Daphnia pulex: one gene and its partners. The protein of the gene in region 2 purifies or fractionates together with the protein of the main gene of each other region. This does not show direct contact. Links are inferred from orthologs where the notes say so. Each region holds a gene or a part of one and is shown on either strand. Other genes may lie near its edges. The genes, in order: pre-mRNA-splicing factor ATP-dependent RNA helicase PRP16-like, nudC domain-containing protein 1-like, ATP-dependent RNA helicase DHX8-like, coatomer subunit alpha-like and putative pre-mRNA-splicing factor ATP-dependent RNA helicase PRP1.

Region 1 (6,210 bases), on a different chromosome or scaffold from region 2:
GTAGAGACGGAAACATTGGCCAGGGCCGGTACGTCCGGCTCGACCTGCCCGCTGGTTGGCGTTGGCTTGACTGATGGGGTAAATTTGAAGGGCGTCCATACCAATGCGCGGATTGTACACTTTGAGTTTACAGAATCCGGCGTCAATGACGAACATGATGCCGTCGACCGTCAGCGACGTTTCGGCGATGTTGGTGGCCACCACACACTTGCGTATCCCATCGGCGGACTTTTGGAAAATCTTGGCTTGCAACTCGGACGGAAGTTGAGAGTAGATGGGCAGCACTAGTAACGGCGGAGCGTTGTCAACTTGTTCCAATCGCTCTTGTATCACCTCGCAAGTGACTTCAATGTCTTCCTGGCCGGGCATGAAGATCAAAATGTCTCCTGCAGAGAATGAACATTTAATAATTTCTACGGGCAAGGATTCAAATTTTACAAACGCGTTACCTTGAGTGGGTTGCAGGTGGACCTGAAGGGCCTGTTTGACAGCAGAGTCCACGTAGTCCTCGCACGGGTTCTTACTAAACATGAGATCCACCGGGAAAGTTCGACCGGGAATGATGAAAACGGGTACATTGCCGAAGAAATCGGCAAATTTGGTCGAGTCCATCGTAGCCGACGTAACGATCAGCTTCAAATCTTGTCGACGACCAACCACCTAAAATTAAACTTCCGTTAAATAAGCAAAACCGCTGCTATTTTTTAATAAATAAAAACTTACATCTCTCAAAAGACCAAAAAGAACGTCCGTATTGAGTGAACGTTCGTGGGCTTCGTCCATGATGACGACACTGTAATTGTCCAGGTCGGGTTCACGAAGAGATTCGCGAAGTAAAATACCGTCCGTCATGTACTTGATGATCGTTTTCTATACAATACAAAATAGCAGTTTGAATAAGTTTTAAAAATTCCATCGAATATTAAAAGATAATTTATACTTCGCTGGTGCAATCCTCAAAACGGATCGAGTAACCCACTTCGTCACCTAAATTGCAGCCCATTTCCTCAGACACACGTTTGGCCACACTCATGGCTGCAACACGCCTAGGCTGAGTGCACCCAATCATTCCATACCTGATGAATCACACCAATCATTTAGTTTATATGCTATTGATAATAGGCATGTTGAGTAAAACTTACTTGCTGTAGCCAGCTTCGTGCAGGTACTGCGTCAACTGTGTTGTTTTACCACTGCCAGTCTCACCGACGATAATGACAACTGGATTCTCGCGGATGATCGTCAACAACTAAATAAAAAATAGAATTAGATGTTGGTCTTTGTTTTATACGATTCATGTTCAGACTGACTTGCTGACGAACGGCGAAACTGGGAAGATATTGTCGTTGCTGTTGAAGTGTTTTCTTCTTGGCGAAATCGCTGGATGCGTTGTCAGAGTCTTTCATATGTTCCGCAAATCGCTGGCTCGTTTTGTAATCCGTCTCTCCCGTAGTCTCATCCACTGCACCTGCATCCTATTAATTTAGAAATTTTAGTTTAAATTACGACATCAATAGTCCTATTTAAAACTAACCTCTTCAGGACGTGCTTCTACACCCATGATGTTACCGATCTTGGTACCGGCCAATTCCCAATGCTTCTTCTGCGCTTTCTTTCGTTCCTTTTGCTCTCGATAAACTCGAACTAAAGCCGAGCCTTTACGAGCTGCCATCGCCAAATCGGATGTGGGGTCCTGTTATTCAAAATGTGTTTTACATTTACGGTTCAAATGCTTAAATATTATTACTGACCCTAACGGGGACGACGGCTTCTGGTTGTTTGGTGAAAACGTAGCGTCCGTCAAGGAAAGGCGGAACAATGTTGTGGACGAGAAGATGGACCCGAGCTTCGGCTTCTTCTTCGTAGTCCTCGTCGACGTCGATTGTGGTGACGACACCACTGGTCAACATCCGGTTACGTTCCCACAGTTCGTTGTCTTTCTGAATTTGTTTCTGCTTGGCGGACACACGTTTGCGCTTCTTCTGTTCCAGTTGCTCCTCTTTGCGCTGGGCGTACTCTTCACTGACCCCACCAAACGCTTGACTGGCTTCGGCATCGTAACCGTCGTCCAGGCCGTACCACTCACGGTCAAGACGTTTCTGCTCCGCCTCCCATTCTTCTGCGTCCAATTCCACCTCAGGTGAACCCACTGTGTTCATAAAAAAATTTAAATTAAAAAACCCACAAGACTTAGATGACACAATGAAATCCTTGCCTCGATCAGTTGCAACTGAACTTCCAATGCCAGAATCTCTGGGCGTATTGTATCGTTGACTCCTAGCACTCCTACATAACAGAAGAAAATGTTATTAACAGTCTCTTATAGTTTTGGTAAAACAATTTACTTGTAATGAGAATAGGCAATCCGTTCACTGCGTTCCGACATGTTCGAACCTCTTCGTTCAGATCTGTCATTGCTTCGTCTGTCTCCCCTTTCGGACCAATCAGAATCGCGACGATCTCCTCTTTCTGACCTGTCGGACGAACGACGATCTCCTCGTTCAGACCAATCAGATCCTCCTCTTCTGTCACGGCGCTCTGATGAGCCACCGCTGGCCTGAATGCGACGTTCTCGCCTCTCGGCCTGATCTTTTTCCCAGCCTTTGGATGCCGCAAGATCATCATCGTCCCAGCTGGAACGCGACGGGGAGTCTTTTACGTGGATTTTGGGGGTTGAAGGCTCGTCCCGGAATTTTGGCGTTTCCCAACCATTATCTGAACGTCTTGAACGTTTGCTATCTTCTCGGATACTACGATCGTCTCTTCTCTCGCCAGGACGTTTGAACTTGGGACTTTCATCCCTGTGCCTATCATTCTTTACCTGAAATTAATATACAAATACATTTTAGAAGGAACTTTTTTTGAAAATCTTCTACAAGAAAATGTACTTTAGAAGAGACGTGAAACTTCCTCTGCTTGTCACGATCTTGTCTGTGCTGCAGTCTGTTTCTAGCTTCATCGGACACACCTCCAGTGTATGTGGGAGTTTCATCTGACGTTCGCAAGGTTTTCTTGTCGACCTTGACATGGGGCTTCTGAAATCCTTCATCAAGTTTTCTCTGGTCAGCTTCGTCTTTCAAATCCTGAAGTAATGCCTCTTTCAATCTTCGTTTCTGTTCTGTATTTGAGAAAAAAACAAATTAGGGGCATGACAACTACAACATACTAGACAAATGGGCTCACCAGCAAGCTTGTCCAGTCCCAGCAATGATACTTTGGGTCCTTCTTCTTCGATTTTGTCGTTATTTTTTTTCTTTCGAACTACAATTCCACCCGATGTCGGGGCCGAACCTTCCAACACTTCAATGTTGTCAAGATCTGCCATTTCTGCTTCCTAAAAAGAAGCAACGGCGAGAAATAAGTTTTTGATTAACAAATGCAGCTAGTGGTTTCAAAACGAACTTTGTCGTCTACAATTCGTTTCCAAAACGAGTTACAATAATCGACACCAGATGTCACCAAACTTGTTTTCAAAAATTGCCACTCGATGGCGCCATGTCCAATGTAAATAGTACAATCTCGTGCTCGCGCGCCAAATCCCATCATTTCCGTTAAAACCAGCGATGGAGAAACGTGTTGAAATGGGCGACGATGGTGCCCGAAAATGTAATTCTTCCCACGAGAACTTGGGTATCATGAAATTGAACGATCACAAAGCTGGGATGCAAGGATTGGATACAGCTAAAATTAATCAAATCATTGAAGAGGCTTCCAAAGGTTCTCAATTTTATCAGCACAAGCAGAAAAATCAAGAAAGAATTGATGCCAAGATTGCTAATTTGAAGGCAGCTTGTGCCAAATTGACTGAAGAGCAGAAGAAAATGGCCAGAGCCAAAGTATAACTTTTCAAGTTTAATGTCAAGTAGATTGTTAATTGTATTCGTTGAGTGCAGATGGACAGTCTGGCTCAAAAACTTGAGCTGACGAGGGATTTGTCTCGCACAATGGTGCATGTGGACATGGATGCCTTCTATGCTGCTGTTGAAATGAGAGATTGCCCAGAATTGAAGTATTATTAACCATTTCACAACATTAAGCTGTATCGAAATCATTATTGTACATTAAAGGACTAAACCCATTGCAGTTGGCTCTTCATCCATGCTGACTACATCCAATTATCTGGCCAGAAGATTTGGCGTCAGAGCAGCCATGCCTGGATTCATAGTATGATTTCTCCTTAAAATTTGTTTAATCAATCGTCACAACAAGTCTTTCTTAAACGCAGGCCAAAAAATTGTGCCCTGAGCTGGTGATTGTCCCCACCAATTTCCCAAAGTACACGGAAGTGAGTCGCCAAGTGCAAAAAGTGTTTGCCGATTACGACCCCGAGTTTAGCGCCGCTTCGCTGGACGAAGCTTATTTGGACCTGACGGACTTTCTCTGCGCTCGTAAAGAGTCTGGTGCCGAGATGACGGCCTCGGAAGCTGTTGAGGAGATGAGGGCCAAGATCTTGGAATCGACCCAATTAACGGCCAGCGCTGGCATCGCACCCAACGGTCCATTGAATTGTGCGCGGCCCCTTGAATCCAATTGCTAATGATAAACCCTTGATTTTTTATCTGCAGGAATGCTGGCCAAAGTGTGCTCGGACAAGAACAAGCCCAACGGCCAATTCATTTTGGAGAACAGCAAAGAGGCGGTCGACGAGTTCATCAAGGACTTGCCCATCCGCAAGATCAGCGGCATTGGCAACGTGACGGAGCAGCTCTTGGGCTCGTTGGGCATCTCCACGTGTCGAGATTTGTGGAATCATCGGGAATTGCTTTACTTATTGTTCAGCGAGTCCAGTTACGACTATTTCTTGCGGGTCGCTCTGGGAATCGGTTCCGGCGGTGGTGGCGTGAGTTTCCTCAAAACATTTAAATATCAATTTCATTTATTTGTGTAATGATTTAATTGTGTGGCATAGGGCGATGGATCTGAACGTGAACGTAAATCGGTGAGCTGCGAGACGACGTTCCGGTCGACCAGCGATCGTAACGAATTGTGCGACATTATCCGTCAATTGAGCGCCGATTTGGCCCAAGACCTGGAACGTCACGGTGTGCTGGGTCGATCAGTGACGTTGAAATACAAGACGGACAAGTTTGACGTGAAGACGCGGATCACGCAGTTGACGGGCTACACGGGAGATGGCGGTGTGATGGCCAAAGCGGCCACCAGTTTGCTGCCGTCCGGGTTGAACTTGCGACTGTTGGGTGTTCGCATGTCACAATTGACGCCGTCGTCGTCAGCTGGAACCGGAAATGACAAGCCTAGCCGGAAGCAGCGCACTCTGAGCGAACTACTGGCCGTCGAGTGTCCGGCCAGGAAGAAGAGGAAATTGGAGGAGGACGGACAAGTGCTGTCCTCCTCTTCGGAACCGGATCCGACTTTGGCGTCTCTCTTATTCACCTGTCCGGTTTGCCACTCGTGGCGGACGAAGGACGGTGAAGTCGCCCTCAACAGCCACATCGACGAATGTTTGAATCAACAAGTTCTCTACCCTCCAGCTGAGACAACACCACCACTCGCAACAACCACTTCTTTGGTGTTGCCCAGCTCATCTTCTTCTTCCACTTGTCACCAGACGAAACTCGATCGATACATAATCCGCCGTAGTAAATGATTCCCCCTTTTAGTCTTCCATATCAAGTTTAGAGTTTTTAATAATTGATAGATGAATTTATTAGATGAGGATGGGTGGGTGGGTAGATTGATGGTTGCCGCTACGAGTCGCTGTCGTCGCAGCTCTTATCGATTCGCCGAGATGTTAATGATGATGGCCCTTTTCAATAATGTAGTACAACCGTCTGCTACCACTGTAGACTCTCTCCCCCCCTCCAATCGGAAATCCAAATGTCAACAGCGCAACCAACCAAGTTCTTTCGCGTGTTCCATTTGGACTGAAAAGGGAGGGTGGGTGTATATATATCCAACCGTTTCCATAGCGACACTTTCGAGTTCACATCAAACGGAGAGATAGAGAAGAACCCCCATCACGCAGCTTCTTCTTCTTCCGACTTTTGTCAAAGTCCATCAATAATCAATAAGACACGGGGTCGATTTCATCGGCCATTAGATTTTCATCCATCCCTTTTTTATTTTATGTAATCTCAAATCTAAATCTTTCAAATCTAAATGCGGTGGAGGGAGGGTCAGGTGGGGACCCTGGACTGGGGGGAGATGATATAAATATCCGGTAGGGAGGGGAGAGAGAGCATTGTCGTG
Region 2 (6,377 bases):
TTCGCCTTCGTCGCGGTAGCCAATAACGGTTGGTTTATTTCGTCTCTTCTCTCACTTGTGCTGCGATCTTATAAGTTGTTGTTGACTGTCAGAGCGCGCGCAGCATGCAATGATGTGTGTGAAAGACCATGAAATTCTATCCGTATGCATCTGACCAGAAAAAAGGCAGGTATACATATATGGTCTTTATAGTATGTATTCCGTATTATTTCATAGTTGTAGCCAGCGAATATCAATATATATAGATCTACGATTTAATCTCAAGCACTAAATATAACTATACAAGGTAAATTCTGATATACTATGTTTGGTCTACAGACTTTTACACGCTCTTTATTCTCTTATTTCATCATGTTCGCCATCATCATCCCTTCGGCATCATTTGCAATTCGTCTCACACCCGATAGGATTTATTCAGAACTAATTCATATTTTTGCGTTGATTCATTCGTCAATGGCCGATTTCGATTAGCAATGGTGTGTTATTCTAATTCTTTTCTCAGGTATAACGCTTCTTGGATATTATGTATATACGCAGCAAGCTGCTGCTGTGTATACTTTGGTTATTTGCTATATAGAGCGGCCTGACAGCGTTTGAGTGAGCTGTTATGCGATCGGTGTTCAAAGAAATTCAATCCATCATCGCGTGGCTGACCCGTCATATAGTAAGAAAAAGGGTTAGGTGAATAAGGGAGAGCTTATATTCACAGAGAATAATACTATAGATGCCAGCAACGTTAAAGCTTGATGCCTGGTGTAACTCGGTTAGACTGGCGAGATGCCTATCGATTACTGATCGAATTTCTTGATTTACGCTGACCCCTACAAATTCCTATCGTAGAAAATGCATTGCCACAATTGAGCCACAATCTAACACAACCTTGAAAAGAAGGTCATAACGGATACGATTCAGACTGCTGAAAAAGACACACTAAAAAGATACAACAAATTCCGGTTCGTTAACCAGTTAGATTTTATTCCCCAGGACGCCAGGAGCGATCAAGTTTTGTATTCGAAATTTTACTTTTCAAAATTCCATCCCATAGCTTTTTTCAAATGTATTACTTAAAAAGTATAAACTGTGCAATATATTCATCATCAATCTTCACAACTACAAAGATTAGTAGTCTGCCATAGAGTTGAGTTCACATTTGGATTATTGTTTAAAATAGGGCTAAAAAAAGCACATGAATCGATACTTACTTTTGTATGTCCTCGATAGTATAGTGGTGAGTATCCCCGCCTGTCACGCGGGAGACCGGGGTTCAATTCCCCGTCGGGGAGGATTTCTTTTTAACTTTTAAATCGTTTTTAACTTTTTATATATTCCGTTATTAATATCCATACACCATTTTAATCTTCTCTTATTATTCTGTCGAGTTCTCAGTGTTAGTGGTTGGTTTCTCTTCGTCGTCAAGGCACCCGACATTTTCTAGCCTGCACTGTTTGAAAAAAGATTTCTTGAAGTAACATTTCGGACTTGACAAGTCCTCGATAGTATAGTGGTCAGTATCCCCGCCTGTCACGCGGGAGACCGGGGTTCAATTCCCCGTCGGGGAGGATATCTTTTTTCATGTTGATTAATCTTCATTTTATCACTTTTATCAATATAAAATTTAAAAATATGCAAATGTATTATCTACGTAACATTAAATTTAACCAAAACACATTTATGCAACAACCGCTTCATAAAAAATAATTAAAGCGCACCAAACATTTAAATAATATTTCTAACTACAATTTGGTTATCGACTTATCATTGAAAAGCACAATAAAAATAGCAGATCGATGTTATGCGAAAAATAATTAATTATTTGGTAGGTTATGGTCTTATACTCTTATGGAACGTGCATGATTAAGCTGTATGCTTGGGGAAGTTGGGCATACTAGAGTACTGTCATTAAATTCGCATTGCTCGGATTCTTTTTCATCATATTTTAATTACTGTAATCGTTATTCACGATCTATCCCGAACGCAGAACACGAATTACATAAATGACCCAATTTCGTTTTTTCTTTAATTGAATTCATGTTTCGCCATCTAGCGAACGATTGTCGATTAGTCAGCAACAGACCGACAGACGGCTCTCAATCCTTTTGAGCAGACGGAAGAGCGCGTACACAAAAATACGTTTGTAATCGTTTGTCAGAAGTACACATCATCATTTAACAGCGAAAGTATTTCACTTCGTATTCATTCTGTCGTTTGTATAACTTGTCTCAGTTTCTTGAAATTTATCGCGAATTAAAATTCCTGCCGAGAAAATGGAAAAGATATTTGAACTCCGCCCGAAAAAAGATTTGCTAGATCCTACTTTCGAAGGATACAAATTGAGTTTGGATGCTTTACCTGTTTACAAACATGAAGTACCTGTGGCTGTCGAACATTTAAAACCAAGTGATGAGCAACTTTCTTATTCACACGTGAAAACATTCGGTCTTCACAATCATTTGATAGAAGATCCTTGGTCAGATGAAATTGCCTTTTTCATATCAAAAGATTTGCAGATCTTCAAAATCAACCTTCATTCTCTGGTTTGTTGGATTAATATTTATTTTTAAAATCCAGAATATTTATTCTATGAAATTTTTTGCAGGCAAGTCAGAATCCTGAGTTTACGTCTGTATGGCAAATCCCACAAAGATCTGAAAGAAGAGATGGCTGGTTTAATGCATCTTTGAGTTTTGCTTCGTCAGAATTGGCAGTTGTTACAGATGGGGGAGGTGTATTACATATAATCGATACAAACATCCGTACTTCAACACATTCTCATACTTGGGAGGTAAGCACAGTTTTATTTTTGCAATTCACTGCCATTATAGATTTCTTGTTAATTTCATACATTTTTAAAGGTCAAGTTGTCCAACCAAATTATGGGAAGTGGTGAACCCTTCAAGGTTATACATTCCATCCTCAATGCTGAAGAGGGCAGCCAATTGGAGACTCTTTCTGTTTTGGTTCTCAAAGTTGAATCAATCGGTATGCATAACAATTTTTAAAAGTAATGATTTTGAACAAGATTAAATTTTGAAAAGATTATTCCAGATCAAGTTGAGAGCCAAATTGCTTTGTCAATATTTGGATGCAGTGAGAAAGAGACTCCTTTCATAAATTGCCTTGAATGGATTGAGTATGAACACAAGGATGGAAATTGGTCCTTCAAACAACTTAAACGTTTAGCGATACCTCACGGCTTAGATTATGCTTCCATTTTGAGCCCTGGTAAATCGATATGCCTTATTGCTCGGGAGCCTTTCGGAATCATATTCGATTCCACCAGGAATGTCGCTGCTCCCTTACCAAGCCCACAAATGGATGAAGGTATAACAAGAATTATTGTAGACATGTCTCATTATACTATCTGATTCTAATTTACTCTTCTTGTTTGCTAGATGAATCTGAAAATAAAGTTGCATATACTTGGGCAGAAACTCCAGAGGAGGTGACTCTATGGGTCAATTTTGACAAACAGACGTCAAAGCACGACTTGGTCGTTAAGATTGAAAGCCAAACTTTAAAAATTGTACACAAAAACCAAACTTATTTGGATGGCGAATTAGCGCATGCCATTTCGGTTGATACGAGTACGTGGACGTTGTCGGATGGAAAACTAGAGATCATCTTATCAAAGAATAACCAATCCCTTAACTGGAGTCATTTGGTCCTTAATGACCTTCGTGGTCGAAAAGTTCTTGACGCTGAAACAGCTGCCGAGTATGAAACTGTATTGAATACCACGAAAGACAAGGTAATTGCTGCAATCTTGTTAATCATGTTTTATAATCAAGTATCAATATTGTTTGAAAACAAGTAACTAATGTTCCAATTTCTCATTAGCAATCAGGAAATGGTGGACGACCTCCAATCTTCAGCAGTGAACAACTAGAGGAATGCGATGATGATATGATGGACGAAACCTACATCTTTCGTTTCGATGGAGAGACTAATCAATTTACACACAAAGTAAATAATAGAAACAAATTTCGATAAGGTTAAATAGCTAACTAATTATGTATATATTTTTTCCAACAGGCCATACTGAGTGGTCAGCTACTATTCTTTACTGAGAGTGCTCCAGGATTAGCCCCGGCGTTCTGTTTACGCCATGACGTTGATGGACTTATTTGGCAGCCGATGGGAGATGAATTAGAACAGCCATGGGGATGCCTTCACACTGCTGCGCTCCAAGCACTTGGTTACATCCAGGCTTCAAAAGAACAACGGAAGTTTACTGTAGCACCTCCCGGTAAAATATTTCGATAAGACGACCAATTGAATATTTAACAAAAAATTCCGTTCAAATCTACGTAGATATGACTTACGCAGCTTTGTGTGATGCATTCACTCACGTTTACATTTACCGTCAACCCAATTGCTCGTCGACTGGCGTGGAGATGGTACATCGTCCAACAGGCAGGAAAGTGGGTAATATTGCTCGTCAACAAGTTCTCAATATCGATAGTTCAGAAGAATGCCTTGGAGCCATGGCCACCAATACTTTCTTACTCATTCTCACTTCTTCGTCACTTTTTGCCATTCGTGTGAACAGCGATTAAAGTCTCACACAGTTTCCTTAATGAACGGCTGAATACAATTACTGATTCAGACTGTACGTTGAATGTAATTTTTTTTTGTAACTTTGCCCAGTTTGAAATTTAGGTATGGGGTGCATGATACCATGATACCATTAATAGGCGTATTCGATTCGTAATGGTTGAAGAAGTAATTTTACTAAAGGGTTGTAAAAATAGATCGTTCGGTGGGAAATTTGAATTTTAAATACTCCACCACTCACGATCAAAACATGTACGTACTAAGAATACACTATTTTTTAAGACCGCGAAAATCAAAGGTGGGCCCGATTATTTAAAAAATGGAAAATCCTAAAGTAGATTTGTGAAAATTGGTGGGAATCTAAATAGGTCACACATTATGTTGTTTGTGTATGTATAATTAAAATTTCAGATTCCTAAAGCTGCTATCTTATAAAATTTTACCGTATCAAAACAACTTTTGATTTGAGGTTGGCCTCATAATGTCTTGAGCTACAGAACGAAAATTGACCTATTTTTTTTTTGTTGATAGGATGTTGATTATCTTATCTCTTGTTTATCACACCATCAATTGGTGATAGTTTTTTGAGAGCTTGCACAAGGTCTCCTATTGATGTACGGGAAATAACAAAAAAAAAAAACAAGGAAGGGAAACGAAACTAGAATGCCCGCTTGAGCATAAAATAATTCAACCAATTTGTTACAATTATTATTTCAAATACTCTCTATTATCCTGTATTTTTATCATTTTTATTTTGTTACAAATGTAGGCCTACCAATTTTAGCATTATTGTTTTTCACTTCAGTTAAAACTATGATAGAGTTAATGTTTTTTAAAGGGGTCGCACACTTACTTAAAACTAAACTATGAATAAAGTTCATTTTAAAAAAATACAATTTAATTTGCAATTTGTTTGGGGTTTAAATCTTTTTTTTAGTCTAAAATAAGTAACTGTACTCCGGTCTTTGGTGTCGGGTGTCCGGAGTCCGGTAAGTGAAGAGGCTTTCGTAATTTCCCACCCTGTTGGTGGCTCAGTTGGATATAGCAGTTCGACTAGGCGTTGCCAACTAGCGCCAGCACGATCAACTTGTGCACCAGGAATGCAAGATATTTGAAATATTAAATAAAAAACTTTATAAATTAATGCTAAGATAGATTAACGTTAAAATAATATCGTTTGTAAATCTCAGACAAATAGTGGTGGTCGAAAAATAGTTTTTAGTTTAAAAAAAAAATGATCCAAGTCACCAGAAGGCGCTAGTAACGCCATCAGTCTCGAAACGATGAAACGTTGCTTTTTGAAGGACGGGAGAGTCGAGTTGAGTTTGTAAAGTGGTCAGAGTTTATTGGACTGTTGGAATATTGGGCTTATCTGCTATCTTTTTCATCTGTTAAAAGTTTAGTTGACCAGTTCTTCAGCAATCAGTTGGTTTATGAGGGTTGGTAAATGTCGGTTACTTGGGTTTAGTGTCGGTAAAGATTTGTAGCTAGTTGAAGTTTTCACAAATTTGTATTAAATTTAATTATTCTGATGACCATACTGGCACCTGTCGAGAAAGCAGGAACGATGGAAAAACTTACGGATCCCGTCACGAGCGACAGCGAGTTAGAGGAAGGAGAGATAGCGAACGATGAGATAGAAATAATCTCCGAATTCATACGCCACCCTCCAATGAAATCGCAGAAGTCAAGTCCAAGAAAATCCATTCCTGGAAGTAACTCAATTTCATCTAGGAAATTAGATAGTTTTGCACATAGGTTGAAGCATTCTGTGTCTAACAGTAGTGGTGGAGGGAACGTTGAATTGAAACATGTCAGTGAAT
Region 3 (6,301 bases), on a different chromosome or scaffold from region 2:
GCTATGACGACAAAAAGTTTGCCATTAAACCAGTCGACAAAACTGCACCCCCTTTTATTTTCTATTCGGATAAGCATCGAGTCAACAAATTGGTAATCCATGATTTTTACATAAATGAAAAAGGATAGCGAATTTTATTTCCGCATTTTTATGTCTAGATCTTAGATTTGTGTATTGGAAATCATGATCTCTTTATGCGTCGGAGGAAACCGGATTCAATTGAAGTTCAGCAAATGAAGGCTCAGGCTAAAGAAGAGAAACTCAGGTAAATTTGACCTTGACAAGTTTTGTCTTATTCATTGTTGAGTTCTTATTGTGGTTACTTTACCGTTTTTCAGACGACAGAGTGAAAGAAATAAGCTTGCACGAGAGAAGCAACTACGCGAAACAGCTGAACGTGAAAAAGCAGCCCTAGAACAACAGTTAATTCACTTTCAGGAAGAATTCCGTGTAGCGAACGAACAGTTGGTATGATATTCTTCAGTTTAATTTTTAGTTTTAGTATCAAGTACAGTATTTCATTATACCAATTTTGTAGAGGCGTTCCGAAGAGTCGGCTGAGCTGCTGGCCGAAAAGGCGCGAGTTGCAGAAGAAGAGTCAATGTTGTTAACTCAAAAAGCCTCAGACGCTGAACAAGAGTTGCAAAGAATTCGTTTATCTGCCATGAAAGTAAGTGAATTTTTTCATAACTTATTTAGGTAGCTTTACATTTAATTGTCTTTTTGCGTCTAGACCGAAGAGGAAAAACTTTTGTCTCAGAGACAATTACATGAGGCGAAGCAAATTGCCTCAAGGTTATTAGAGAATTCTGAGCGTTGTGCAGCAGAAGCAGAGCAGCTAAAAGGTGACCTTTTGCAGGCCCGTTACGCTGAAACTCAAGCCAAAAAGAAGCTACTAGAGTTTTTAACAACACAAGCTAGTGTTGCAGCCTTACACTCGGCATCTCGTCCAATTACACGCATCCCGTCGTCCGCGTCTGTCCTGGTACTTTGCAGTTTCTGTCAACATTTTAATGAGCGAATAACTACAATTACCATTTTTCAGTCTGTTCCCAACTTGTTTCCGACATCAAGTTCGTCGGTAGCTGGATCAGACCACCATTTACATCATCAGTCGGACATTCAGCAACATTTACGACGACTCGACGATGTCTCTAACGAAGCAAGTTTGCCGGCTTATGAGGCCCGCCTTCCTATTCCGCTGGCTAATCAGCTTACTGGCCTCACCAACTTAACTGGCTTAAGTAGTAGTGGATATCTATCAGCTATTGCTGCTTCCGAACTGGTCAACTCTTCATCCAACTATGACCTTATGACACATGGCGATATGGAGCAACTCTCACTTGAAATTGAGAAAGAGAGGTTGTAAATCTATCGTAGGAATTGTTGCGTAATTGTTTGCTCATTTTTTAAAATAAATTTAGAGTCGAATACTTGGAAAAATCGAAGCAACTGCAGGAGCAACTGAGAGAATTGCGTACAGAGATTGAAGTCTTGAAAGTAGGTGAAAAACAAACGCTTTACGATCAGCTACACGAAGAGCAACTCCGTTCAGGGGACGACAAATACTCAACTCTCAAAAAGGTACGCATGAATGAGAGTCATTAATTCAAATTTGAGTTAATTTTTCTTTTTTTCCTAGTCAAAATCTGGATCGACTGGAGCGCGCGTGGCCTTTTTCGAAGAGCTGTAGCTTAAGTCATATTTTTAATTTTACTTTTGACAATGTGTTGTACATAAATTTTAAATTGGCTGACCATTTTCATGGATGCAACTTAGTTTATAATCTTTAATTCACTAAGTTGCCCATTTTCGTGAAATCTTATCATCATAGACATTAGACAAATAGACTTTCATTTAAAAAAAACTTAACTCTTGTTGACTAATGAGTAATGTCTTTTACTAGTAGCAGCATCGGCGTTGTTTACATTCTTATATGAATTTTGCAAAATGAACCTGTATGTCTAGAATACCAATTCAATATGAACATGGAAAAGTTTCATTCAAATTCAAACACAAAATGCAGAGAACCGAGAAAGATTAGATAATTCTTCATTTCAATCTGTGAAACGCAAAAGTTAACAAATTCATTTCGAAAAAATGTAAATATTTTTTGCGCGCAATGTTGCCAGTTCATCTATTAATTTTGATTTTTCTTTTACAGCATTCTTGCAACGTTGTCTTAACAACGAAAGCATTCGTTTTTTCGTCGGCTCGTCAATTTCCACATTCGTCGCCATCCCAATTGTTGTGCTGTCAATTTGTAAATGATTTAATAAGTGGCAAAATATCCTATATCATCATGGATGAATTAGAGAAACTCGAACACCTGTCGCTTGTTTCTAAGGTGTGCACAGAATTGGAAAACCATTTGGGACTCAACGATAAAGATCTGGCAGAGTTCATCATCGCATTGGCCGAAAAACACAAGACCTTTGATGAGTTCAAAAGTGTAATGCTGGAGAATGGCGCCGAGTTTTCAGACTCTCTCATTGCAAATTTGCTTCGTCTTATCAAACACATGAAATCAGCCAACTCGAAAACAACTGATGTGAACTTAGCCCAGGTAAAGAAAACAGTTTACAATGCAGAAACAGAGAAGAAACGGGAACTCTTCCCTGGTCTTGCCTTAGCAGATAACCCTAAGGCAAGAACAATGCTTCTCGAAGACATAAAATTGACTATTAAAGATGTTGAAGAAGCTAACGATTTAATGGCTGAACTAGAAGCCATGGCTCCTAAAGAAGAAAAGATTTCTACTGAAGCAATCGAGCCTGTTCAGGAAAGAGCAAGGAGTAAAGACAAGAAGGAAAGAAGCAGACGTTCAAGAAGCAAGGACCGCAGCAGAAGATCAAGAAGCAGAGACCGCAGCAAGAGATCCAGAAGCAGAGACCGAAGTAGAAGGTCAAGAAGCAGAGATCAAAAGAGGAGATCAAGAAGCAGGGACAGAAGTCACAGGTCCAGGAGTACAGATAGAGGAGATCGAAACAGAACAAGTGATCGTCATCATGATAAAAGAAGTAACGAAGGCAGACGAGAATCCCCAAGTCGAAAGAAACCTCAAAAAGATTTTCCAGAGAATCCAGAAGTGGGAAATGTCTACGCGGGAAAAATCATGAATCTTGCAGCTTTTGGTTGTTTTGTACAAATTGAAGGAATACGGAAAAAATGTGAGGGTCTAGTGCACATCTCCCAGTTGCGACGAGAAGGCCGTGTGAATAGTGTGGCTGAAGTTGTCAATCGTGGAGATAAGGTTCATGTCAAAGTTATGAGCATTGCTGGCCAAAAGATCTCTCTTTCTATGAAAGATGTGGACCAAGACACTGGCGAAGATTTGAACCCAGCTCCTTCGACGTCAAGCCGCCCTGGACTAACCAGCCAGGAAAGTGAAACAGCTTTAAGGAATCCAGATCGACCTCTCTCATTGCTAGATTTGAAGGCAAATGTAGAGGAGGATGAACTAACCAACCGCAAGCGTGTGCAACGGATTTCGTCTCCTGAACGCTGGGAACTGAAGCAAATGATGGCAGCAAATTGTATCGACAAAATGGACTTGCCCGAATTCGACGAAGAAACGGGTTTACTGCCAAAGCTGGCCGAAGACGAAGAAGATATCGAAATCGAGTTGGTGGAAGAAGAGGCACCCTTTCTTCGAGGTCACGGTCGAGTGCTTAATGAACTTAGTCCGGTTCGTATCGTCAAGAATCCCGACGGTTCTCTAGCTCAAGCCGCCATGATGCAAGGCGCTCTCAGCAAAGAACGCCGCGAACAGAAAATGTTGCTCAGAGAAGAACAAGAAGCAGCTGACGCACCGGCTCAAGGCGCCAACAAGACCTGGATTGATCCCATGCCGGATGCTGGGGCTGCACCGTCAACGTCGTTGGGTCGCGGAACGGGAGCCCCTGTATACGACATGCCCGAATGGAAAAAGCACATCACTGGTGGACCGAAAGGAGCCTCTTTCGGCAAGAAAACTAGTTTGTCCATCGTCGAGCAACGTCAATCACTTCCCATCTACAAACTCAGAGATGAACTGATCAAAGCTGTCAATGACAACCAAATCCTAATTGTCATCGGTGAGACGGGCTCGGGAAAAACTACGCAAATCACTCAATATCTATCCGAGTCCGGATTCACGGCTCGTGGAAAGATCGGCTGTACGCAGCCTCGTCGTGTGGCCGCCATGTCCGTTGCCAAGCGAGTTTCGGAAGAGTTTGGTTGTCGTCTAGGACAGGAAGTTGGATACACGATTCGTTTTGAAGATTGCACCAGTCCTGAAACTTTGATCAAGTACATGACGGATGGTATGTTGCTGCGTGAATGCTTGATTGATCCCGATCTGCAATCGTATTCCTGCATCATGTTGGACGAAGCCCACGAAAGAACTATTCACACAGACGTTCTTTTCGGTCTTCTCAAGCAAGCCGTCCAGAAGCGAGCCGAACTCAAACTCATCGTAACGTCGGCCACTTTGGATGCCGTGAAATTCTCGCAGTACTTTTTCGAGGCGCCCATCTTCACCATTCCGGGTCGAACTTTTCCCGTCGAGATATTGTATACTCGGGAACCTGAGACGGATTACTTGGATGCCTCGCTCATTACCGTCATGCAGATCCACCTTAACGAACCACCGGGCGACATTCTTCTTTTCTTGACTGGTCAGGAAGAGATCGATACTGCCTGCGAAATTCTATACGAGCGCATGAAGTCCATGGGCCCTGACGTTCCTGAGCTCATCATTCTTCCCGTCTATTCCGCTCTACCGTCTGAAATGCAAACTCGAATTTTCGAACCGGCTCCACCAGGCTCCCGAAAAGTTGTTATCGCCACCAACATCGCCGAGACCAGTCTTACCATCGACGGTATCTACTATGTCGTCGATCCTGGTTTTGTCAAGCAGAAAGTCTACAATTCCAAGACCGGAATGGACTCTTTGGTGGTGACACCCATTTCACAGGCGCAAGCCAAGCAGCGAGCTGGTCGCGCCGGTCGTACTGGACCTGGAAAGACTTACCGCTTGTACACGGAGCGAGCTTATCGTGATGAAATGCTTGCCACGCCTGTTCCCGAGATCCAGCGTACTAATCTCGCTTCCACTGTCCTGCAACTCAAAGCTATGGGCATCAATGACCTGCTCAACTTCGACTTCATGGACGCTCCTCCTGTGGAGTCACTTATCATGGCACTTGAACAGCTGCATTCCCTTTCCGCTCTAGACGACGAAGGATTACTCACGCGTCTTGGTCGACGTATGGCCGAATTTCCTCTGGAGCCTTCTCTCTCCAAGATGCTCATCATGTCTGTTCACTTGGTATGATATTATCAACAATTGTTCCTGATCGATGTAATTGACGTTTTAAAAATTTTTGTTTTAGATGTGTTCGGACGAAATTTTGACAGTCGTGTCCATGTTGTCAGTTCAGAACGTCTTCTACCGACCCAAAGATAAGCAACAGTTGGCTGATCAGAAGAAAGCCAAATTCAATCAAGCCGAAGGAGATCACATCACTTTATTGGCCGTTTACAATTCCTGGAAGAACAACAAGTTTAGCAGTGCCTGGTGTTACGAGAATTTCGTTCAGATGCGTACCTTAAAACGAGCTCAGGATGTTCGTAAACAGCTATTGGGCATTATGGACAGGTATGTTTAGTCTTTGATGCAAATTGTATTATCCGTTCAAAAATCTAACATTTGTTCTTCTACACTTTCCAGGCACAAATTGGACGTGGTATCGGCTGGCAAGAATACGGCTAGGGTGCAGAAAGCCATCTGTTCGGGTTTCTTCCGTAATGCGGCCAAGAAGGATCCGCAAGAAGGTTATCGGACGTTGGTGGACGGCCAGGTGGTCTACATCCACCCGAGTAGCGCGATCTTTAACCGGCAACCCGAGTGGGTCGTCTACCATGAATTGGTTCAAACCACAAAAGAGTACATGCGTGAAGTGACTGTCATCGATGCCAAGTGGCTGGTGGAGTTTGCTCCGGCCTTTTTCAGATTCTCTGACCCGACCAAGCTCAGCAAAGTCAAACGAAACCAACGGCTCGAGCCGTTGTACAACAAATACGAGGAGCCTAATTCGTGGCGTATTTCCCGACAGCGCCGACTGCGCCGGAATTAGAATTTTCCCTTTTAAAATTTACGATTGTCTGCAATCAATCAGAGTGACATGGTCCTCTTTGTGTACGCAATTACAATTTGTTACATACAAATACACTGATTTGATGATATAACTGGCAACATCGCGTTGATCTTTTTTGGGAGGAAAATTGTAACCCCGGCAACGTCAAACTTTGTCGAATC
Region 4 (6,247 bases), on a different chromosome or scaffold from region 2:
GCAACTTCCCTCCAGTTACGCTGTGGGTATGCGGCCAGGGAAGGTAGATTAGGCAATCCAGCAAACATAGTTCGTGATTTGGCGAAGGCTGCGGTAAACAATGGCCTAACGGAGTAGAAAGAAACGCTATGTTATAAGCAAATGACGAAGGAATTAACAGTTATTGTACGTACTTGAACGGTGCAAAATTAACGACACCAATCTGGTCATGGAGGAGACGGAAAGCAGATTCATAGGAGCCAGCTGAAGCGTGATCAATAACCAATTGCGAATGAGTGGCCCATCCTTGCAGAGGAGGCTGACCACGAGTGGGTGGCACGTAATAACCGCGGTCTTCGTCTTCACCTCCATGAGCAGCAACGCTCAAATCGGATGGTAACTCTAAATCTTCATCACCCACTTCCCAGCCACCTTCTTCATCTCCGCTCTCGGCATTGCCAGCCGATCCAACCGGTTTATCTTCATCATCAAGACCAAGATCAGCATCATCTCCCCAGCCATCAGGTTCACCGGCATCTTCCTCGGTAGCAACAGCAGATCCAGAAGCAATGGTACGAGCTGCCATGGCTCCATCGAAAAATCCCTGTTCCAGTTCATTTCAAATGTTAAAGTTCCCTCCCATTAAAATCTATCAAATGAACAATGGCGTACCTTGGAAACGGTCAACAATGGCCAGTTGGATTCCGCCTGAGCAATTGGAGGAGGCGGCTGCAAGAACACAGCAGATGGATTTACAGTAGGTACTGGTTGACCGGCTGCTTCCAGTTGTTGTTGCAGTAGTTCGGCCTCTTCATTAAGCCCATGGGTAGCGGCAGTAAGGAAAGCCAAGCTCGTCTAGACCATGTTTAAACATTACTATCATTCAAAACTTAGTTAACTGAACCGTCCCGTATTACCTGTCCGCAGTTACGAAGCACCTTGACACGTTCTTGCATATCCCCTAGCAAAAGGGCCGATTGGTATTGACCCGAAGTGTCCTTGCGAATTTCAGCAATCTTCATCATCTTTCTTAGCTTGTCGAGGTTGCCAGTAATCAGATACAAAAAGGCCAACTTGTTGAAATTCTTTGTCCTTTGATAGCACATCTCAACGACCTGGTGGTTGCCTACAGATCCAATATAAAGTAAGTTAAACATCATTAAAAAAAAACTAATAGCGAGAATCCTGACCTTGAAGAAGGGCAGCTTCGCCAAGTTTCTCCCAACAGAACTTGTCGTCTAGAGCCTTGGCGGCTTCAAGAGCTGCTTCAATGTTGCCACATTGGAGAGCCAGGGCCAGTCGAGTCTTTTCGTCTTTGACAAAGTGTAGGGCAACCTCTGGATAACCTTTTTGCTGCAAATAAGCGATGATCGATTGGCCGACAAGTTTGGCGTGTCGAACCATGTGCAACACTTCGTCGTACTTTCGGTTGACCAGGGCCAACTTGAAGCAGTATTCGGTGGGATCCACCTGGAACATGCGAGGACGGGCATCGCGATCCAAACAGTAGATAGCCTTGCCCTTGACACGGGTGAGATACACGGGCAGATCTAGGGTGCGGATGATGCCGTGATCGCCGTTGATCAATGAATACTTGATGTGGTGGCTAGTGGTGTAGATCAGAACACCCGAATCTTCCCAGGTAGCAGACTTGAGTCTGGCGTTCTCCTGGATGGTGCACAGCACTTCAAGACGACGGTTGGCGATGGTCAAGACGTGCTTGCCCAGTAATGCAACGTGACTCATGTCCGCCGACCAAACGACATGGCGACATTTGGTCATTTTAACCTGCATAGAAAATTTTGAATGAACATGGTTGTTCTTGGAATGACCTACTTGCTTAGTTTTATTACCTGTCCAGCACTACGTTTCTGTTGGATATCAAATAAGGTCAAGCCTTCCGTATCACGAAGTAAAACGCATCCAGTACCAGCATAAAAGATTTCATCACACGGAGGTGTCTGAATTTTCTTGCTGACTTCGTTCTTTTCGTTTTTGATGACGATCTAAAAAATGAAAAATGAAATAAAATTATTGTAGAAAACCAACATTAACCCGGTGTTTATAGTCGTGGCATACCGTGTGGTTACGATCCAAGACAGCAAAACGATTGCGAGCGACCCAGATGGCAGTCACACCTGTTGAGCGTTTTCCATCGCCACCATCTTGCGGACAATCGGCTTCAACTGGAACCGAGTAGAGCTCGTAGATGGAATTGTCTAAATTGGCAGCGCGAGTGACAACCAGAACAGACTGCTCGGCAGGATTGTACGAGATGCTGTGGATCGGCGTGCGAGCGTTGCCCCTCAACTGCAGCAAACCGGTATCTTTCGACGTGGTAAGATCCAACCGACGAAGGGTACGCTCCTTGACGTAAAATAGCAGATTGCCGTGCAAGCTGTACGCAGGCCTTTCTCGCTCCAGCTTAAAGATCACCATTCCGGAATCGTGCCCTGAATAAACAACACATTAGCATTATTAGCGTGATCCAATTTGAAATGTTACAGAATGTTAATTTACCTGCTGCGAATAGACCCAAAGTTGGATGGGCAGCCATAACCCAGAAACGGTCGTGTTCACGACGGAAAGTGTTGAGGCACGTCCTCTTCGTGAGGTCCCAAACGCGGATACTCTTGTCTTCCGAGTTGGAAAGGATCAGCTCTTGTTTAGGATGGAACAAGACGCAAGAAACATTGTTGTAATGGCCACGGCACGTATCGACTTCCCATGCCTGTTCACAATACGGAGAAACAAAAAAGTTATTTTCAGAAGATTAACAAGTCATTTCTGCTGTGCTCTCGTCACCTTAGATTCACTCATTCGCCACAACTTGATCTGGCGATCGTCAGCACCCGAGATGACCAACGGAAGTGTCGGATGAAATGCTGCCCAATTCACTCCGCGATCGTGCCCCTCCAAAACATGGCGAACAACTGCGTCAGCTTGGCCAAATAAATCGGTGGCTCCAGGATTACGGAGGTGTTCATCGAGACCTCCAGGTCCAGGTGCCACATTCTTTTTTCTCAAACCTAACAAAAATAGAAATAATGATGTGATCTTGACAGTGAAAAATGGTTGACAACTGTTAATACCAGAAATGTCCCAAACTCTGACAGTTTGATCCAGGGATGCAGAAACAATCAAATCTTCTGTGGGGTGAAACTGGGCACACATGACATAGTGGTTATGGCCAGTCAAAACAGATACACAAGCTCTGCTTTGCCAGTTCCAGATTCTAATAGTTTGATCATCAGAGGCGCTCAAAATCCATGGGTATTCGTGATGGAAGACTGTGGTACGAATGTAGTCCATGTGGCCAGACAATGTGAATTGACAGCGCCGCAGCTTGTAGTTCCAGACCTAAAGGAACAGCATACATTATTGGCATTTGTTAATTTGTCAAGTCAGGCAAGGGTGGGTACCTTAATTTTGTAATCATCGCCACCAGAAACAAAGAGGGGCTGCTGACTATGGAAACAGATTCCACGTACAGGTCCATCGTGCTCATCGAATTTATCCAGCAACGCACACATACGATAATCCCATAGTTGAATTACTCCGCTATGCAAGCTAAATGACAAAAATTCAATTAAAACAATTCAGACTTTGACAACTGCCGACTTCAAGACGGGAATCAAAGTATGCAAAAACACGTACCTCGTTAGAATCCATGGTCGCTTGGGATGGAAGGAAAGGCCTTTAACTCTGGCCGATTTCGTTTCAAATTTAGTTAGCATTTTTGCGAGACATTAACCGGTGAACGGTCACCAAATATAAAGTATACAAGTCTCCGGAATAATGAAATGACAGAAGAGCCACGTCGCTGAAGTAGTCAAGATAAACGCCACCTACCGATAGGTTCATATAATATGAAGGTACTTCACGCTAGATGGCATAGTTCAGTGCGGATTTGGCTAGTTTTTTTTTTTTTAATTTGAATTGCCAAATTCTTCTGGTGTTGGTGAACGAAGTCAACGTAGGCGAGTCTTATCTTGTCGACTTAGTTATCGTTAACTACGCCCAAGGAATGATAGAGCGTGCTTTCTAATGTTGAAGTGAATTGCTTTAAGAAAAAACTCGATAAGATGAGTCAACAATCGAAGAGAACTGTATGAAATTTGAAATTCCACTTAAACGAAGATTCGAATGTTTTCTTTTTCGTGTCAAATTCAAGCCAAGTGTACTTTTGACAATACAAATTACGAGATAAGGGATTGTCGCATATTCGTAATTTCTTTTGAACATTATTCGTTAAAATGTAAGTTAACGAAAAACGAAATTTAAAAAATAAAAATCCAAGTTGATTATCCCGAAATTTACGATTAATTGCCGGTTCAACAACTGCAGAGCAAGTTTCTGTCCATGGAATGATATATATACGACCGCTAGACGAAGCGGATAATCATCAAACTAAACAGCGATTCATATCACCATGACGAAATTCGCAAAAGGGAAAAAAGCTTTTTCAAACCTGATCGGATACGTGATTACACTTATCGTTGTGTGGACATTTTTAATCTGTTTTGTCAAACTACCTCCTAATCAACCGGACATTAATGGAAAACCAATAAAAATAACATGCAACGAGTACGATAAAATTAACTATCCGATGAAATCCAGTAACCCGAGAGAAAAATACAGTGTCTGTTTTCTACAAGGAACATGTTTTTGCTGTGTAAGTCTCTTGATGTCAGGCATCCTACTCGCAAAGAAAAGATTCCGTTCTGTTTCATCATCAAACCGTTCTGCAGGCATATTGCTGGTGTTGTTTCAACTTCTGCTATGGATTGTAGCGTTGATTACTGGAGGTGTTTTCGTCTGGCTATGGGTGAACAACGGTCCAACTGAAACTCTGGCTCCAAACTTTCTAGCCGCCTGCAAACCGAACGGACTTGATGTGCTTTGCAGTCCCGACAATCATCTCGATGGGAATCCGGTTGTTTGGGTCACATGTTCAACACCTCCGGAAATGTGGATCCCCGCCCTATCCAATGCGCTGCCCACACTAGCGGCAATTCAGGCTTACCTTATGTTTGCAACATTATTGCAAATGGATTACTACTGGAAGTGGGAGGAAGAGGATGATTCTGCAATGAAAATTGTCCAAAGACTTTTCGGTATAATGGGTCCAGTCTTCACCTTTCAAATTGGATACTTTGACGTCATCTCGCCTAATCTGGCGAATTTCGACCAAGAACTGGTTTCCGGCTACCTGAAATGCTGCGCTGTTGCTTGTGTGTGGTTAGCAGTGGATAGATTTTGGACGAAAACTAAAAAAGAACCAAAACTTCCACGTTACTGGAATGACGTTCCAGCTAACAATGAAATCGCAGCCCAATCTGGCCAAAGCACCACAAACCTGACACCACCCCCCACACCTACTCTGCACGAACCTCCAGCGACGACAGGATCAGGAACGACAACAGGAGAAGCAACAGAAAATGTGTATCAGACCATTTACCCGAATCTGCCGCCGGAATATGAAAATCCCCCCGCCAGTTACAGAGACTCGGTCATCCGGAATTAAACGAGTTGGGAACAGCTACCAATTGAGATCCGTACGTCACTAAAAAATGTTATTCATGTCTGGATTTAAACGTATGACGATTTAATTTCATCAAATAAATTTCAAGTTCAACTTCACTCACTTCATTTCATGTTTCAATTATTTTAATTAAAACGTAGTATATTAGTTCTACCTCTAATATCACGGTAGAAATCATTTCTAACATATATGTCTAGTGTAACTGCGGTTAACCTACAGAATCACGACGGTCGTGACCAGCACAGAACAGAATTTTACGGCGTTTTTACGGCGTTAACCATCATTTGACATTGTCAAATGATGGTTGAATGGGGGAGGGGGGGGTATAAATTACCGGAATTCCAGCCCTTTAGAATTCCCCCTGCGAATCTATCATCGTAGTTTTGTTGACAACATAATTATCACGTCAAGATGAAATATACACAAAAACCCCCCAGAATAAAAAATTAAAATAGTTTAAACAACTGTGTTTCACTGGTCAGCGTTTTGTAAGAGACAACGAAGGCAAAAACAGCAAACGACCTGAAATTGTTTCAACCCAGCCAAACGTGGCCCGGCTCCAAATGAAAATTGATGCAAACCGAAATAAACCGAAAAATCGTTACTGTTGTCTGTGCTGTGCACAACCTCACGGAACCAGTTGAGCTGGTCGAGAGAAAAAAGCTGGCGCGATTTAATTACAACAGGGTCATTTACGTCAGTCATCTGTCAACTGGGAGCGAT
Region 5 (6,148 bases), on a different chromosome or scaffold from region 2:
AATTGGGGAGTGGTATCGGTGCGCGTTCCGACAAGAGATGAGTCGATTCAAGTGTCGAGAATAGGGGAGGGAAATGCTTAAGTGTTGTCCATGTATATACCTGTGATTGAATACCAGATGAGCTCCATTGTTTTTCACCAGTTCCATCCCCTGGGGAGAACCTGCTGTTCCAACGACGGTCATTCCTGACAGACAAAAGAAAAAAAGGGTGAAATTACCAAACGAAACAAAAAAGTTGTAACTTTTAAATCGCTAGACATGAAGAATGTGCTATCGCTGTAAAACGACGCCATTTTGTTTTAAGTACGTTTTCACAAGTGATATTGCTGTAGGTGGTCTTTTCGTCTAGCATTACGACAGAAGATGGTTTATTATAGCTAATTACCGTGCGCTTTAGCGATTTGACAAGCGGCTAAACCAACAGCTCCACTGGCTCCATGAACCAAAACACGATCGCCGGCCTTGGCCTTTCCTCTGCACAACACAAGAGGGGGAAGAAGAATAAAAACCATTAGATTGAATTGAAAATAAAGGAAATGTGAAAGCAGAGTGTCTTTTATATACTTGATAAATATAGCGCGATAAGCCGTGAAGTAAGGAACACCTAGAGCGGCCCCTTGGGCGAAGGAGAGGCGATCAGCCAGATGGAACACTGAATGCGATTCACAAGCAACGTACTCGGCGTAAGAGCCGCTGGCTCCGGAAAAGAAAACGCGATCACCTTCCTGCAATAGAAAAGAAGAAATTGTAGCACTTTCTCTTCAAACTATTTCTTGAGTATTTGGATGATTTCAAATCATTGAACCTGTTCCTTTGGAAGATTATTTTAAAAAGGACGACTAACCTTGAGTGTGTCAACTTTGGAGCCAACTTTTTCAATAGTTCCAGAACCATCACGTCCAGGGATGTAAGGCAGAGTTGGCAATTGAGCAAATAATCCCATTCTAATGTATGTGTCAACTGGATTAACACCAGCTGAACCAACCCTAATCAAAACCTAAACATAGCAACTTTAGAACAGTCGTGTCAATTGAAGCAAGTGAACAAATAAAAAACCTGGGTTTCAGAATGAACAGGAATCGGAACATCAGACTCTACTTTCAAGACTTCTGGTCCTCCAAATGTGTGCACACGTACAGCCTTCATTGCCAGTCCCTGAAAATAAAACAACAATAAAAAAATCATTATTTTAATGTTCATAATCTCTACATGATTTTGTCCATTTTTCTGTATACCCTAGTTAATACAAAGAAGTTTCTCGAGTTCATTGACACATATTTAGTTAAGGGCTCGGTCGAAAGTTCGTTGCATCTTTCATTTTACAGTTTACCTTCACTGGATAATTTACAGTTTACCTTCACTGGATAACTGCTTGCTGGCTTTCTCTTATCTAATCAAGCAGCACCTCTAGTTTTATTCAATAAGATATCTGTTAATAACATCAACAAGTTCAGACGACATAGAGGGCGAAGGCTCCCAATTCAAAAAATGTCCGATCGCAATTTTTGCAAATCATAAACAGAAATGCAAATAAAAAAAGTAGTCTTTGGTCTCTTTAGAAGGAAAATATTAAATCAAAATGCGATGCTCTAGATACTGAGAGCGCGTAACGGAAATCGGGTTTCTTTGGAAATATTTTCTCCCGAAGTACGGGCACTTTTTCGGCCATTGAAATCAAGTTATTTAACAGCACACACGAAATTTCCAATTATTTTGTTAAGTAATATTACAGATTTTTAGCTATAGCGATAAAATTAACGGTAACAAAAAATTGTCTTACGGATTTTCAAAGGGAATTGTAACAGGGAAACGTAAACTGGACGGACGTAGGACGGAAGACCTGTTAATTCCTCGGCGGCAGGTAGCGATGTGAATGTCGGGAGCACCGAGAAAGAAGAAATAGGACATCAAATTTCCTAGCCTTTCTTTTTTTCTTTACTGCTATGTGTTCCGCTCAGTTCACGATTTCATGCCCGTTCTCTGCGTTCTACTTTCTCTCTACAACTTCCCTACTAATAAAGAACAATTTAAATTGAATTATTCCGGGAAGCATCAATGCATTTAAACAATAGCTTCTCCCCATATAGATTTTTATTTTCTATTTTTTCCTAGGCCTAATTTCATTAGACCAAACACATGATTAATAGAAATAAGACAAATTGAGTCCTTCAATGCGTATTGGATATTCAAACTAATTTATTTGAAATGAATTCAAAGTTTTTTATAATAAGGACGTCGTCAATGCTGAATTCTCGTGGAATATATAAACATAACGGTACTGAACGGAGGAAATATTCCGAATTGAGAAATCAACAACTTTTTCATTTAGGCTAACTTGTAACTTTCTAACCACCAAAACGAGGCAACCATGAAATTGTGATCGAGCAGTAAAATAATTACTATACTATTCAATTAGCAAATACCATATAGCTAGGGTCTGAAACGAATTAGAAGCAAAGCCATATACATTTATAGATCAGCGCCGCGCATAAAAATACGGCATCTGTAGACGAGTTATTGTCAACTTAAATTGTGGCAATAAACCAGTAGTTCCGCAGTTCGCCGCTTATTGGCTATGTGCCATCTAGCGATTTGAAATGAAACGCGTGCTTCCTTTGAATTTCACAAGTAGCGTCTGCAAGTGTGGAAATTGGTGGCCGAAGTTCCTGTCTGTGCTGTTGGAAAACGTGTATCCACGTCCTGTTCGTTTTTAAATATCGTAAAATAGATATTTTCACCTCTTATTATGTCGAAAAGACGCATAGAAGTTGATGACAAGCTCAGCAAGAAATCGTAAGTAAAATGCAATTATTCAAATTAGACAAATAAACCCGCGATTGTGTCATTTGTAATGCACATGAGCATGCTGTAGTGAAACATGTCGTGGTCGATAAGATTGTTAATGATTTTTCAAAAAACCATCATTCTTTTTTTAAATTATTATGCAATAAAATTAATTTGTTTTACTTTACAGCCGGGCAACTGGTGACAAAGGGAGTGAAGCAGATAAAGAAAAGTAAGCTTCTATTGTTATAAATATTTTTCTAAATTCATTTTCACTTTTTGATTTACAAATTCCCATATTAGTGTCTTAAGATTAAAATAATGCTTTGTCTTATTACTTTACAGAAATGTAACTGATTCTAAACCTGGTGGTTCATCTGCATCAATTCCAGTAACACCATCAAAGCCAGGGTTGACATTAAATCCCCTTACAGGATTGCCCTATACACAAAAGTACATCATAAATATTATTTTTTTTTAAACACTCGTTGATAATGATCATTTATATTGTTTTAGATACTATGACATTTATCGAAAGCGCATTGGCCTTCCAGTTTGGGAATACAGGGAGAAATTTTTTGAGCTTCTAGAAAACAACCAGGCAATAGTTTTAGTTGGAGAAACTGGATCGGGAAAAACTACTCAAATTCCTCAATGGTTAGGAAATATATTTAGTTTATCGTAGAGCAGTTTGTTGATAATTTGCTATTATTGTGACAGGTCGGCTGAGTTTGCGCGAAAACTAGGAGTTAAAAAAGGAGTCGCTTGTACTCAACCACGTCGAGTTGCTGCTATGTAATATTTTAAGTCAAATAGTTAATTTTCTCTTAATATAAAACCGTTTTTTTTTTGTAAGGTCTGTGGCTCAACGTGTAGCTGATGAAATGGACGTCGTTCTTGGTCAAGAAGTGGGTTACAGTATCCGTTTCGAAGACTGTTCTTCCCCCAAAACCGTACTCAAGTATGTTCTTTTGAGTAAAACGTTTTATTCGATCAAAACTATTCCCTATTTCATTTTTTAAAGGTACATGACAGACGGTATGTTGTTGCGTGAAGCCATGTCAGATCCACTGTTAGACTCGTATCAGCTAGTTTTATTGGACGAAGCTCACGAGCGTACACTTGCTACTGACATTCTTATGGGTGTTTTAAAGGAAGTCATTAAGCAAAGGCGTGATCTAAAGTTAATTATCATGTCTGCCACGCTTGACGCGGGAAAGTTTCAATCTTATTTTGATAACGCACCATTGATGAACGTGCCCGGTCGGACGCATCCTGTGGAGATCTTTTACACCCCAGAACCCGAGCGTGACTATCTTGAAGCAGCCATACGCACAGTCATGCAAATTCACATGTGTGAAGATATTGTCGGTGATGTTCTTCTCTTCCTCACTGGTCAAGAGGTTAGCTTTATATATTTGTAAAATTTGATTGAATTTCTCAGATTTCTCTGAACATGTTTATCTTATTCATGTACACATAGGAAATCGATGAAGCTTGCAAAAGGTTGAAACGTGAAATCGACAACCTTGGTCCTGAAGTGGGAGAAATGAAGTGTATTCCTTTGTACTCCACATTGCCACCAAATTTGCAACAGAGGATTTTTGAGGCTGCTCCCCCAGTTAGACCAAATGGAGCCATCGGTCGTAAAGTGGTTATTAGTACCAACATCGCCGAGACCTCGCTTACTATTGATGGTGTTGTTTTTGTTATTGACCCTGGTTTTGCCAAACAAAAGGTAACATTTAGGAATTTTCAAATGTGAGTTACATGGTTCAAATTTGTGGAATTGCTGTTTTCAGGTTTACAATCCTCGCATTCGCGTCGAGTCTTTACTCGTTTCTCCTATCAGCAAAGCATCAGCTCAGCAACGTGCTGGGCGTGCCGGGCGTACGCGACCAGGAAAATGTTTTCGTCTTTACACAGAAAAAGCCTACAAACAAGAGATGCAAGACAACACATATCCTGAAATTCTTCGCTCCAACTTGGGATCAGTCGTCATTAATCTTAAAAAATTAGGCATCGACGACCTTGTTCATTTTGATTTCATGGACCCTCCAGGTACCATATCAACATTTAAATAAATAAACCGCATGCTGATTTTTTTTTTTATTTTACAGCTCCCGAGACTTTGATGAGAGCTCTAGAGTTGCTGAATTATCTCGGTGCTTTAGACGACGATGGTAACATGACCGAGTTGGGAGCAATTATGGCTGAATTTCCCCTTGATCCTCAATTGGCCAAAATGTTGATTGCTTCTACGGAATTCAACTGCTCCAATGAGATCCTTTCGATTACGGCTATGCTTTCCGGTAAGCTTCACCTAACTTCTATTTCGGTTGATTTGGTTGTCTTTGTGTGGGATCTGAAAAATAGCTAGGGTGATTTGCCACGTTTTGCCTTTGTAGTTTAATCTAAAAGTTCTTACTTGTTATGGCAAAACGGCTAATCAACTGGTTTAAAAGGTGTGCTTTCTTTGAGAGCACAGATCATAGTAGAAACGATAGGCTGTTCTATTGTATCCTGTTAATAGGTGAACAGAACTAAACATGAAGGCGGGACGCGCGGGCTTCCCATTTTTTGGTCTCCTTGAAAAATGTGGGGCCCCACTTCCGTCTCTTTCTCTTTTTGTCTCCTCCCATTTTTTCCGCAACGTCTGAATGCAGTCCCACAAGTTTTTATGCGTCCACTGGAAGCCAAAAAGGCTGCTGACGAGGCCAAGATGCGCTTTGCTCATATTGACGGTGATCACTTGACTATGCTGAACGTCTATCACGCATTTAAACAAAATATGGAAGATCCTCAGGTATGCTCCCGTCTTTTTCTACGAGCTCGTTGATGGTAATCTCACATTTTTCTTTTTAAACAGTGGTGTTATGACAATTTTGTCAACTACCGGTCAATGAAATCGGCCGACAATGTGCGACAACAGCTTTCCCGTATTATGGATCGCTTCAATTTAAAACGCACATCCACCGAATTCACCTCAAAGGACTACTATGTTAATATTCGTAAAGCACTCATTAGCGGTTTCTTTATGCAGGTATAGAGACAAATAATTTCTTCTCTTTGTATTTAAGTACATCTTCGCGTTGTTCTTCCAGGTTGCCCATTTAGAACGAACGGGTCACTATCAAACTATTAAAGATAACCAAGTGGTACAACTTCACCCTTCGACTTGCTTGGATCACAAACCGGAATGGGTTATTTACAACGAATTTGTTTTGACCACTAAAAACTACATCAGAACTTGCACCGATGTCAAACGTAGAATATGAAAATCTGATTTTCTGATCCCCCAAATTAACACACTTCTGTTTTGTAGCGGAATGGCTTATCAAAGTTGCTCCTTCTTATTATGATA

What was found.
Region 1: the proteins of nudC domain-containing protein 1-like (region 2) and pre-mRNA-splicing factor ATP-dependent RNA helicase PRP16-like purify together in Homo sapiens (co-immunoprecipitation; 3 studies listed by BioGRID and IntAct, with this or other methods). This does not show direct contact. The link is inferred for Daphnia pulex from reciprocal best matches to the Homo sapiens genes NUDCD1 and DHX38.
Region 3: the proteins of nudC domain-containing protein 1-like (region 2) and ATP-dependent RNA helicase DHX8-like purify together in Homo sapiens (affinity purification with mass spectrometry; 3 studies listed by BioGRID and IntAct, counting the BioPlex papers as one, with this or other methods). This does not show direct contact. The link is inferred for Daphnia pulex from reciprocal best matches to the Homo sapiens genes NUDCD1 and DHX8.
Region 4: the proteins of nudC domain-containing protein 1-like (region 2) and coatomer subunit alpha-like purify together in Homo sapiens (co-immunoprecipitation; 3 studies listed by BioGRID and IntAct, with this or other methods). This does not show direct contact. The link is inferred for Daphnia pulex from reciprocal best matches to the Homo sapiens genes NUDCD1 and COPA.
Region 5: the proteins of nudC domain-containing protein 1-like (region 2) and putative pre-mRNA-splicing factor ATP-dependent RNA helicase PRP1 purify together in Homo sapiens (co-immunoprecipitation; 3 studies listed by BioGRID and IntAct, with this or other methods). This does not show direct contact. The link is inferred for Daphnia pulex from reciprocal best matches to the Homo sapiens genes NUDCD1 and DHX15.

The regions. Positions count from the first base shown.
Region 1 is NC_060023.1:12,097,611-12,103,820, reverse strand, and holds the start of pre-mRNA-splicing factor ATP-dependent RNA helicase PRP16-like, read right to left. Parts: upstream 3,431-6,210; 5' UTR 3,326-3,430; coding exon 3,184-3,325; intron 3,119-3,183; coding exon 2,889-3,118; intron 2,822-2,888; coding exon 2,346-2,821; intron 2,287-2,345; coding exon 2,216-2,286; intron 2,150-2,215; coding exon 1,752-2,149; intron 1,694-1,751; coding exon 1,535-1,693; intron 1,476-1,534; coding exon 1,311-1,475; intron 1,250-1,310; coding exon 1,143-1,249; intron 1,077-1,142; coding exon 941-1,076; intron 871-940; coding exon 724-870; intron 661-723; coding exon 450-660; intron 387-449; coding exon 1-386. Other genes in the region: DNA polymerase kappa-like, read left to right, coding at 3,564-3,836, 3,894-4,009, 4,068-4,164, 4,226-4,496, 4,566-4,840, 4,910-5,608. UniProt on the Homo sapiens protein: Probable ATP-binding RNA helicase. Involved in pre-mRNA splicing as component of the spliceosome.
Region 2 is NC_060021.1:755,093-761,469, forward strand, and holds nudC domain-containing protein 1-like, read left to right. Parts: upstream 1-2,060; 5' UTR 2,061-2,264; coding exon 2,265-2,534; intron 2,535-2,596; coding exon 2,597-2,782; intron 2,783-2,852; coding exon 2,853-2,979; intron 2,980-3,045; coding exon 3,046-3,321; intron 3,322-3,392; coding exon 3,393-3,748; intron 3,749-3,837; coding exon 3,838-3,963; intron 3,964-4,032; coding exon 4,033-4,246; intron 4,247-4,311; coding exon 4,312-4,556; 3' UTR 4,557-4,612; downstream 4,613-6,377. Other genes in the region: nucleolar protein dao-5-like, read left to right, coding at 6,086-6,377.
Region 3 is NC_060022.1:2,534,936-2,541,236, reverse strand, and holds ATP-dependent RNA helicase DHX8-like, read left to right. Parts: upstream 1-2,170; 5' UTR 2,171-2,302; coding exon 2,303-5,311; intron 5,312-5,375; coding exon 5,376-5,641; intron 5,642-5,713; coding exon 5,714-6,119; 3' UTR 6,120-6,231; downstream 6,232-6,301. Other genes in the region: merlin-like, read left to right, coding at 1-92, 159-265, 339-468, 539-670, 734-985, 1,046-1,362, 1,425-1,584, 1,643-1,693.
Region 4 is NC_060025.1:3,020,245-3,026,491, reverse strand, and holds the start of coatomer subunit alpha-like, read right to left. Parts: upstream 3,823-6,247; 5' UTR 3,717-3,822; coding exon 3,637-3,716; intron 3,550-3,636; coding exon 3,402-3,549; intron 3,340-3,401; coding exon 2,785-3,339; intron 2,711-2,784; coding exon 2,500-2,710; intron 2,433-2,499; coding exon 2,059-2,432; intron 1,986-2,058; coding exon 1,833-1,985; intron 1,768-1,832; coding exon 1,170-1,767; intron 1,106-1,169; coding exon 897-1,105; intron 835-896; coding exon 652-834; intron 584-651; coding exon 174-583; intron 106-173; coding exon 1-105. UniProt on the Homo sapiens protein: The coatomer is a cytosolic protein complex that binds to dilysine motifs and reversibly associates with Golgi non-clathrin-coated vesicles, which further mediate biosynthetic protein transport from the ER, via the Golgi up to the trans Golgi network.
Region 5 is NC_060017.1:1,845,794-1,851,941, reverse strand, and holds the start of putative pre-mRNA-splicing factor ATP-dependent RNA helicase PRP1, read left to right. Parts: upstream 1-2,620; 5' UTR 2,621-2,746; coding exon 2,747-2,793; intron 2,794-2,974; coding exon 2,975-3,016; intron 3,017-3,129; coding exon 3,130-3,237; intron 3,238-3,300; coding exon 3,301-3,441; intron 3,442-3,504; coding exon 3,505-3,579; intron 3,580-3,640; coding exon 3,641-3,745; intron 3,746-3,808; coding exon 3,809-4,187; intron 4,188-4,267; coding exon 4,268-4,522; intron 4,523-4,586; coding exon 4,587-4,845; intron 4,846-4,904; coding exon 4,905-5,096; intron 5,097-5,450; coding exon 5,451-5,590; intron 5,591-5,653; coding exon 5,654-5,827; intron 5,828-5,888; coding exon 5,889-6,051; intron 6,052-6,109; coding exon 6,110-6,148. Other genes in the region: quinone oxidoreductase-like, read right to left, coding at 101-185, 386-725, 845-997, 1,057-1,155, 1,236-1,268.